Linked DNA regions of Mus musculus: regions 2 and 3 are each reported to be linked to region 1. The links are microRNA targets in miRTarBase. Many come from high-throughput screens and were not tested one by one. Region 1 holds a microRNA gene; each other region holds the end of a gene's coding sequence.

Region 1 (3,150 bases):
TGGGCATGATAGGAAAAGGCAAGCCAGCCCACAACTTCCCCCAGTAAGCATTGGAGAGATGTCTTTGGGCCCAGAGGGAAGGCTGGGAAGAGCCTCTGGGAATGGGCCCTGCACTTATCTGGTTGCAGGCCTCTGCCTATGCTAGATCAGACACTCACAGATGACCTGGGCCACCGTCACCACGGGGCCAGACAGAGATGCTCCCGAGCAACGACGGCAACCTGTGGGGTAGGGGCAAGGATGGGGAGGAGGAGACTGGCAGCTTAGGTAGGGTAAATATCTGGGGTGGGGGGGATAGAAGGGTCCCAGAGGAACTGGAAGAGGAGGGAGTCCTGTGCAAAAAAACTGAGGGACCAAGGAAGAGGCAAAGTGAAAGAAAAGAGAGGCAGGAAAAATGAGAGCAGCAGAGGTTAGTAGGAAGTGGTAGTGGCCGAGGTCAGGTCAGTCAGGCCAAGTGTGATGGGAGAGAAGTGAGTAGAAGTAGCAGAGAAGGAAGAAGACTGAGAAATACAATTGAATGGGAGAATGGGAAAGCCAGGAGGCTGAAAGTGGCTGTTTCCCCATGAGGATACCTAAGAGCTTTCTGCTGTTCCTTTTCTCCTGCCCCACCCCCAAAACCAGTTCTGCCAGGGTGAAGAATGTTTTAAAGGGGAAATGGAGACCCCCTGAGAAATGTTCCCCCACCTAAGTCTTGAGGTGGAGTTCAACTTCCTAAAAGTTCTAAGTGCAGGCAACCCAACCTGAGTCCCCCAGGCCAGGGCCCTCCTGAGCCACACCTTGCTGCATGATCTCCACAATCTGTACCACCTTGTCCATGTGCTTCCGAGCAGCAATCAGCCCTTGCAGCATGAGCATCTTGTAGTAGTTGAACATATCACCGTTCAGGCCACCCATTACCTGGAAGCAAGGAGAGTGTCTGTGTGCACAGAGAAATTCTGGTGGGTCCTTTCTGTAGGCCTCAGAGCTTCCTCTCTTAAGGTAATCATGGTAAATTTCCTTATCACTATCTCCACATTTTCTTTCATAAGCTCCCAGGCAATCCTGCCTCGTCTTGACTTATTGCCATTTCTGTTCTGTTCCTAATTTGGGGGAGTCCATCAGCTCCTCTCAGAGGAAGAACACAGTTACCCTTGGAAGCACCTCTCTTTTTTGACTCACATCCACAAATTCTGTGGTCAGCTTAAAGGCTGATGTCTCGAAGCCCAGGTTTCGGGGTGAGCTGGAAAGGATGAAGCCAAAGTCGATGTGGATGATGTGACCTTCTGCGTCCAGAAGGATGTTCCCGTTGTGCCTGAGGAAGAGGCAACAGTAAGTGTGGCTTAGGCTGGATCTCAAGCTACAACACTGGCCTCTTCATACCGAACAGGGGAGGCCCCAGCCATGTTTCCTGTTGCTTACAAGTCTGGGTCAATTTCCTAGGATCTAAAACTAGTAACAAAAGGAAGTTAGGAAACTATGAAGAATGACTGGGGTATGAAATTCAGTTATTACCAGCTTAATAAAAATAGTTTTAAGATTATCAAAAGGCTGAGGACGGTAGAGTGGTTGCCTATAACGCTCTTTTCTAGCTTTGTTCCCTAACACAACATAAACTGAGTGTGAATAACGTCACATGCCTATAACTCTAGCACCTGGGAAGCAGAGGCTAGAAGATCCTAAACTAAGGGTCAGTCTCAAATACAGAGGCCAGACTGACGCATGCTATTTTCTCCCGAATTGTACTTCTAGTACTCAGACTTGACTCTGACTTTAAGTAGTAAGCACACAGATAAGAAGAAAAGGTCTCTGAGGCTCCAGCAGCTAGCTGTCTGAATGAGGGAAGGCCCTCATTCAGACTCAGTTTAAGATAGATAGGGTCTCACTATGCAGCCTCAAATGGTCTGATACTCATATATAGTACCAAATTGACCTCAAACTCAGTCACCTGCCTCTACCTCCTGTGTGCTGGGATTATTTTAATTCTTAATCAGTCCATGGCAGAACCAAAGTCCCATCAGTAGAGAGCAACAAATAGTTTATGTGGGTCAACACAGGTGTATTTGTATGTGAAGGCCAGAGGTCAATGTAAGGCATTGTTCCTGGTAGCTTTTTTTTTTTTTTTTTTTTTTTTTTTTTTTAAACTTGGGATCCCTAGGGCAGCTTGCACAGGAAATCCTTTGGTTTCTGCTTCCCCATCTGGTATTAAAGTGTGCCATCACACCAGGATTTTTTGTTTTGTTTTCTGAAACAGGGTTTCTCTGTATAGCCCTGGCTGTCTTGGAACTCATTCTGTAGAGCAGGCTGGCCTCAAACTCAGAAATCCGCCTGCCTCTGCCTCCCAAGTGCCAGGATTAAAGGCATGCACCACCATGCCTGGCCACACCAGGATTTTTATGCGGGTTCTGGGGATTGAACTCAGGTACTCATGATTTTATGTATGGTAATAACTTTATGGACTCAAGTTATTTATTTAGCCTCTCCACTCCCCTAAAGATATGCTGTACCCTAGCCCAAGTCTGCCTCTGTCTCCCAAGTGCTAAAATCATATGAATGAGCCATCAGGTTGCTGATAAAAACTTTAAAACTGTGAGGGCAAATGACTTACATAAAAAAGCCTTAGGAATGGTATACTACAGGCCAGCTGTAGGGAAAACGAGTTAGTGGACGATACCTCAGGTCTTTGTGATTCCCACATTAATGTCAGTAGGAAGAACAATTAGCATGCTAAGCATGTGAGGCCTGGCCTATTCTGCATGACCAGTCTTTTTGCTATCAATAGAAGCTTTGTTAGGCCAAGCATTCATGCCCCAGCTGAAGGCTACCTCTAAGTTGGTCAGACTGGCTGAAAGAGGAGAGGTAGAAAGAGAGAGCTCAAGACCCACCTGAGTTGTGGGGAAGCACTAACAATGTAGCAGCGCCCACACAATCCTAGATGTCTAGACGCAGAGAGAACAGGTGACTCCACCCCCACCCCAAAGTTTCAAAGCCGGTGAGAGGCAGTTTCTGTCCTGTTAACTACCTGGCCAGGCCTAGCTTCTACCTCGTAAGCTGCCTTGGGACTCCTTTTGACATGAGGGTTTTGTTTTGGTTTGGTTTTTCGAGACAGGGTTTCTCTGTATAGCCCTGGCTGTCTTGGAACTCACTTTGTAGACCAGGCTGGCCTCGGAACTC
Region 2 (3,000 bases), not on the chromosome of region 1:
AATCGTGTGGCTGTGCTTGAAAATCAAAACAAGACCCTCATTGAGGAACTCAAGGCCCTCAAAGACCTTTATTGCCATAAAGCAGAGTAACTGTGTTTGATTTGGACCTTGTTGACTGTGAACTCTAATCGGGGCAGGCGATGCAGCATCCTCATAATGGCCATGTGGACTTGTAGATGGGTCTCTTAACCCTTGCTTAAGAATACAGTCTGCTGTAGAGTGTGAATTGGGAATACTGTTCCATGGGTTGGAATGCAGCTCCCCTCACATTACCAAGCTTGCTCTATTGCCAATAGCATGCAACATATGTTTTGTTTGCCCTTCTGCTTCTACTTTTTTCAGGGAAGCTGCTAAAGAATGTCGACGTCGAAAGAAAGAGTATGTGAAGTGTCTTGAGAGTCGAGTCGCAGTGCTGGAAGTTCAGAACAAGAAGCTTATAGAGGAGCTTGAAACTTTGAAAGACATTTGCTCTCCCAAAACAGATTAGTAGAAATATTTAACTATGAACTGATTACAGCATGTACAGTTGCTTTTGAATGCAATACAATATATAGCCGGCAAGAATTATGGCTTTTTCCTTTGTATCATTCATCTAACTTTCTAAAACTAACATTCCTAAGATGCTTTGTTGTATTTAATTTGCTCTTACCTCTAAGGTCAATTTTTTAGAAGAGACAAACTGTAAAAAATGTATGTAACAAATTCTTAAAATGAAGTATTTGTAAGACTTGTTCCAGTGCAACATATTTACAGTTCCCAGTCTCTCTGTCATGAATAGTGTCCTATGCAATAAAAATTTTGCAGGTTTTAAGAATCATTTTAGGAAAGGGTGATCAAAGGCAGTGCATCTCTCCAGTAGTAAGATAAAATCAACCCATAGAGATACCTCAGGAAAGAATGAAAGGAAGTGTATCCTGATGACATGACTACGTGAGAATAGCCTACAAATGAATTTATGCATTTATAGATTTTTATAATCGTCACTTTGTAAAGAAAGTATTGTATTGCTGTCCTTGGGTGCCACAGTTGAAGACAGTTTTAAATAGAACCATGTTGGTTGCTCTTTGTACTATTTGGTATTTATTTAAGTATCTGAGCATTTACTACAGCTTCCTACTATGTATGTAGTATGTGAATTTCTACAAAAGTTTGTGCTGCTTTGCTGTTATTTAATGAAAGAGACAACATATTTTCATTATCTGGAATGAGTTCCACAAGTATGAATTTATTGCTACACTGGATCAGCAGCCTTGCAAATACTGGGCCATTTCATTAGAGGACAACTGCAGGGCTCTAGGAGCAGAGTTCAGTGTGGAGCACTTGCCTGGCATGCTACATGTTCAGTTGAAAGGGAAGACCTCAAGCTCTGCAAATGGAATGGGGTCCAGGGGAAGAGGTTAGAGGTTAGCCTTTGTGCTGTACTAGGCTTCTTGCTGATCGTCTGGAGAGTTTCTGCTGATGACCCTCCATTGTGAATTCTTGCAACCTCAGGAATGTTAACGTTTAAAAAACAACCCAAGATGTCATTTTTGATTTTACAACTTGGATCAATTTTGTTTTGCTCTTTGGAATATAGCTGTGTACATTTGTCACGTAGGTTTAGGCTGGCCTTAAACTCACAGTTCTCTTGCCTCAGCCTTCTGAGTGCTTGGATTACGGATGTGGGCCAGAATATCCAGTTTGATCAAGTATTCTTTTATAAAATATTACTTTCTTTTTAATTGCCTGTGTGTATGTCTATGTGTATGTGAATGTGGGTTCCCAAGAAGGCCAAAAGCTCCCCTGGAGCTAGAGTTATAGATAGTTGTGAGCCTTCCAACATGGGTGTTGGGAACTGAACTCAGATATTCTGCAAGAGCAGCACATGTTCTAAATGACGGAGCCATCTCTCCAGGTCCATGATAAAATATCCTTATGCCAGAACATTCAAATGAAATTCATTACAATTGTGATAGCTTTGTTACTAGTAGCGTCCATAGTTGTTTTTATAAGGAAAAGACTCAAGGTATAAGCTCGGATCCCTAACCCTGTGCTATGTCATCTTTCTCTCACCAGCAGGTACGGATTAGACAGTGGGCTATAGTCGCTGCATTGCCTATGGCTGATCTCTGATTTGTTAAGAACCTGCCCACCTTCCTTCACTGTCAACAGGGTTGATAGTGGATCTGGTAGTGGGTAGGAGGTGGTTTGGCACCCAGTTACCATTTCTTTATCTTTAACTTTTCCTTACCTATAACTTCTAAAATGTAGGTCCTGGTTTTGTTTCTGTTGCCACAATAAAATGCTCTTGACAGAAACAACTTAGGATAGAAAGAGCTTAGTTTAGTTCACAATTCCAGGTTGGATAATCCATCAAAGCATGGAAGTCAAGGCAACAGGAATTTGAAATAGCTGGTCACACACACACACACACACACACACACACACACACACACACACACACACAGAGAGAGAGAGAGACAGAGACAGAGACAGAGACAGAGACAGAGAGACAGAGAGACAGACAGAGGGACAGAGAGTCCGAGAGACAGGGAGAAAATGACTATGCATACCTGGTTACCAGCTCATTTTCTTACACAATCCAAGACTCAAACCCAGTGAATGGTGTGTATCTATTAACAGAATCAAGGTAACTTTCCACAGACATAAGCCCATAAGCCAACCACATCTGGACAATATTTCATTGTGACTCTCTCCACAGGTGAATCTAGACTGTGTCAAGTTGACAATTAAAACTCACCAGCAGGGCTGGTGAGATGGCTCAACGGGTAAAAGCACTGACTGCTCTTCTGAAGGTCATGAGGTCAAATCCCAGCAACCATATGGTGGCTCACAACCACCCGTAACAAGATCTGACGCCCTCTTCTGGTGTGTCTGAAGACAGCCACAGTGTATTTACATATAATAAATAAATAAATCTTAAAAAAAATCTATAAAACTCACCAGCATAGGAACTAGAGAGATGTCTCAGGAGTTAAAAGCACTTGATGCTCTTTCAGA
Region 3 (3,000 bases), not on the chromosome of region 1:
TGAACACAGCCAAGACTACAGCCAAGGACACAGCCAACACCACAGCCGTGACCACAGCCAATACCACAGCCAATACCACAGCCGTGACCACAGCCAAGACCACAGCCAAAAGCCTGGCCATCCGCACTCTCGGCAGCCCCCTGGCAGGTGCCCTCCATATCCTGCTTGTTTTTCTCATTAGTAAACTCCTCTTCTAAAGAAAACTGGGGAAGCAGATCTCCAACCTCCAGGTCATCCTCCCGAGCTCATTTCAGGCCAGTGCTTAAACATACCCGAATGAAGGTTTTATGTCCTCAGTCCGCAGCTCCACCACCTTGGACCACAGACCTGCAACACTAGTGCACTTGAGGGATACAAATGCTTGCCTGGATCTTTCAGGGCACAAATTCCGCTTCTTGTAAATACTTAGTCCATCCATCCTGCGTGTAACCTGAAGTTCTGACTCTCAGTTTAACCTGTTGACAGCCAATCTGAACTTGTGTTTCTTGCCAAAGGTATTCCCATGAGCCTCCTGGGTGTGGGGGTGGGGAGGGAATGATCCTTCTTTACTTTCAAACTGATTTCAGATTTCTGGCCAAACCTACTCAGGTTGCAAAGGACTTATGTGACTTATGTGACTGTAGGAAAAAGAGAAATGAGTGATCATCCTGTGGCTACTAGCAGATTTCCACTGTGCCCAGACCAGTCGGTAGGTTTTGAAGGAAGTATATGAAAACTGTGCCTCAGAAGCCAATGACAGGACACATGACTTTTTTTTTCTAAGTCAAATAAACAATATATTGAACAAGAATACCGAAATGTGCTAAATTGAAAGATAACCCTTAATGAGTGATAAAATACAAAGTGTTACCTAACTTTGTTTTTAGAACTAGGAATAAAAGTGTGTGTGTGTGTGTGTGTGTGTGTGTGTGTGTGTGTGTGTGTGTGTTTTCAAGGACAGATGCAAGGTTAATTTATCTCAGTTTTGTTTTGTCCAGTCAAAGCTGGTCATTTCTTCCTTGATGATAATTTATACCAGGAAATGGGCCAAAAAAGAAAATGCTTGTAATATTTATAGTACAACGTGAAACCAAAAAAAAAAAGTTATTTCCAACAATAAGCCTGTAATAAGAAATAAAAGTTTTCCTTTAATAATTCCTTTTCTATACCGTCCAGGACCCAGGGGTGAGCACCACCCAGCTCAATCATTAATCAAGAAAATGTCCCTCTGCTTACATTCTCTCCTCCCAGATTACCCTGGCCTGTGTCACGCTGACAAAAGTCTGACCAGCTCACAGTGTGCATAAGGTCCCGCATAACATTAGTCTCTTCTCTGTGCTGAGTCTGTTAGCTGCTTTAATGTGTGCCTCACGGGCAAGCCTCACCAAAATGTGCTATCTTGAGAGTCGCCTGGTTATTCTGTCCACTTTTAAAGATAAGTCTGAGGGGTCAGAGAGCTTCTGAAACCCCTAAGCACAGAGCTAATACCTGGGCACAGCAGTCCTCCCTTTGCCCCAGCTCTCTGGAGGCTGGAGAAAGGACTAATGGGAAGTTTGGGCACAGTCTGGTCTTCGAGGAAGTTCGAGGGATACATAGCAAGACCCTGGGAGGAGGGAAGGAGGCAGGAAAGGAGAGAGAGGCCGCGGAGATGGGGAGAGGCTGGGCAGGAACACAGTCCTGCTGCAGATGCTTGGTTTCCACATGTACACCAGGATTTGAGTCCCGTCCCGTCCCCCCGTCCCCCCGTCCCCCCGTAGCTGGCTGAAATGGGAGCCACCCCTGCTTCCTGGAGTGTGGAATGATGACAGTATCGTTCACGGCAGAAGCAGTAACTACAGAGTCAACTGTAGCCCTGATCACGCAGCCTCTCGGCGTGTGTCTTTGATTTTTCTGGTAGTCTGTTGTTTTCTGAATGGAGACAGTCTTGCCTTTCATAAACTTTGGTCATTTTCAATCCACATTTCTTTGCTCTTTCAGCTTCCTTCTCTGTCTCCTTCTGAAACTCCAACTATAAATATGTCAGTGCGTTTGCATCCCAGAGACCATTTTTTTTCTTTTTTTCTTTTTTTCCTGCTCCTCAAACTAGATCATTTCAACTGACCTCTCTTCAAGCTCTCCAATTGTCCTGCCTCCTCAAGTCTGCAGGTGAACCTCAACATTATATATTATTATTATATATATTATATATATTACCTGTTACACCTTCCAGCTTCAAAAGTTCTATTTGGCGTCTTTCTATAATCTCTCTCTGCCCACCTCTATTCTGTGTGCAGAAACATTTTCCTGGCTTCTGGTCTTTGTCGCTGTTTCAGTCCCCACTTTGAACATAGTTAAGATGTTGACATCAAGTCTTTGCCTCTTAGGCCCAGTGGCTGGTCTTCCTTGGGAACAATGTCTGCTTCAGTTTTTTCCCTTTGTAAATTTCTGTTGTAAACTGGGTGTTCCGACTATTACAGTATCTTGACTCTGGAAACCTGATTCTCTCAGTTGTACAACTGCTGGTGTTGACTGCTGCCACTGAATATAACTGCAGACTGCATTCTTTGTGTGGCCACAGAGTTTTCTTTCCTGATTTCTTAGCAGTTAACCAGTGACCTTAAAGATTCTGTTAAATGCCAAATTTAGCATTTTTGCCCGATAGCTGGTTTTTGTGTTTGTTTGTTTGTTTGCTTGCTTGCTTGCTTGCTTCTTCTTTGCTGTTGTTGTTGATAATAGATTGCAGAATTTTTAAAGTTTTGGCTGGTGTTGCCATCTTTATGGCTGGTGTGGTGGAGAGACCAGTACTTGGAACCTCTTGTTCCTTGGTTTCTCTTTTCTCACCAAGTGCTTACTGGTAGCCCTGCCCGGCCCCTGAACAAGTATAGACTGTACATGGATCATCTCATTCAAGCCTTACACCAAGCCAGGGGTGGAGATGCATCTCCAGGTTCCCAGCACTCCAAAGGCTAAAACGAGGGGATTGCCATGAACTTGAGGCCAGAGTAGGCTACATGGAATACCCTGGGCTACAGTGCAATACCT

Evidence for each region. Region 1 holds the annotated microRNA mmu-miR-7013-3p (CCACACUUACUGUUGCCUCUUCCU, at 1,295-1,318, opposite strand). A microRNA usually pairs through its seed, bases 2 to 8, with sites in the 3' UTR of a target mRNA and lowers its output. Matches are read on the target gene's strand: a 7mer-m8 pairs with bases 2 to 8, a 7mer-A1 pairs with bases 2 to 7 and ends in A, and an 8mer does both.
Region 2: the mRNA of Crem is a reported target of mmu-miR-7013-3p. The part of its 3' UTR that is shown has no 7-base or 8-base seed match.
Region 3: the mRNA of Plet1 is a reported target of mmu-miR-7013-3p. Seed matches in the 3' UTR shown: 7mer-m8 at 879-885.

The regions. Positions count from the first base shown.
Region 1 is chr3:95,002,381-95,005,530 of GRCm38, reverse strand. Mir7013 (microRNA 7013) reads right to left here and starts at 1,363; the gene lies at 1,292-1,363. It overlaps Pi4kb (phosphatidylinositol 4-kinase beta), which reads right to left. Exons shown (of 11, transcript NM_175356.3): 9 at 1,159-1,291; 10 at 777-897. It also overlaps a transcript of Zfp687 not described here.
Region 2 is chr18:3,265,075-3,268,074 of GRCm38, reverse strand. It overlaps Crem (cAMP responsive element modulator), which reads left to right. Exons shown (of 9, transcript NM_001110859.2): 9 at 343-1,721. The coding sequence ends at 487. Among named protein-coding and RNA genes, the nearest start is that of Crem, 61 kb to the left of the region's middle.
Region 3 is chr9:50,504,349-50,507,348 of GRCm38, forward strand. It overlaps Plet1 (placenta expressed transcript 1), which reads left to right. Exons shown (of 4, transcript NM_029639.2): 4 at 1-1,291. The coding sequence ends at 197. It overlaps Plet1os (placenta expressed transcript 1, opposite strand), which reads right to left and starts at 457. Exons shown (of 3, transcript NR_040714.2): 1 at 273-457.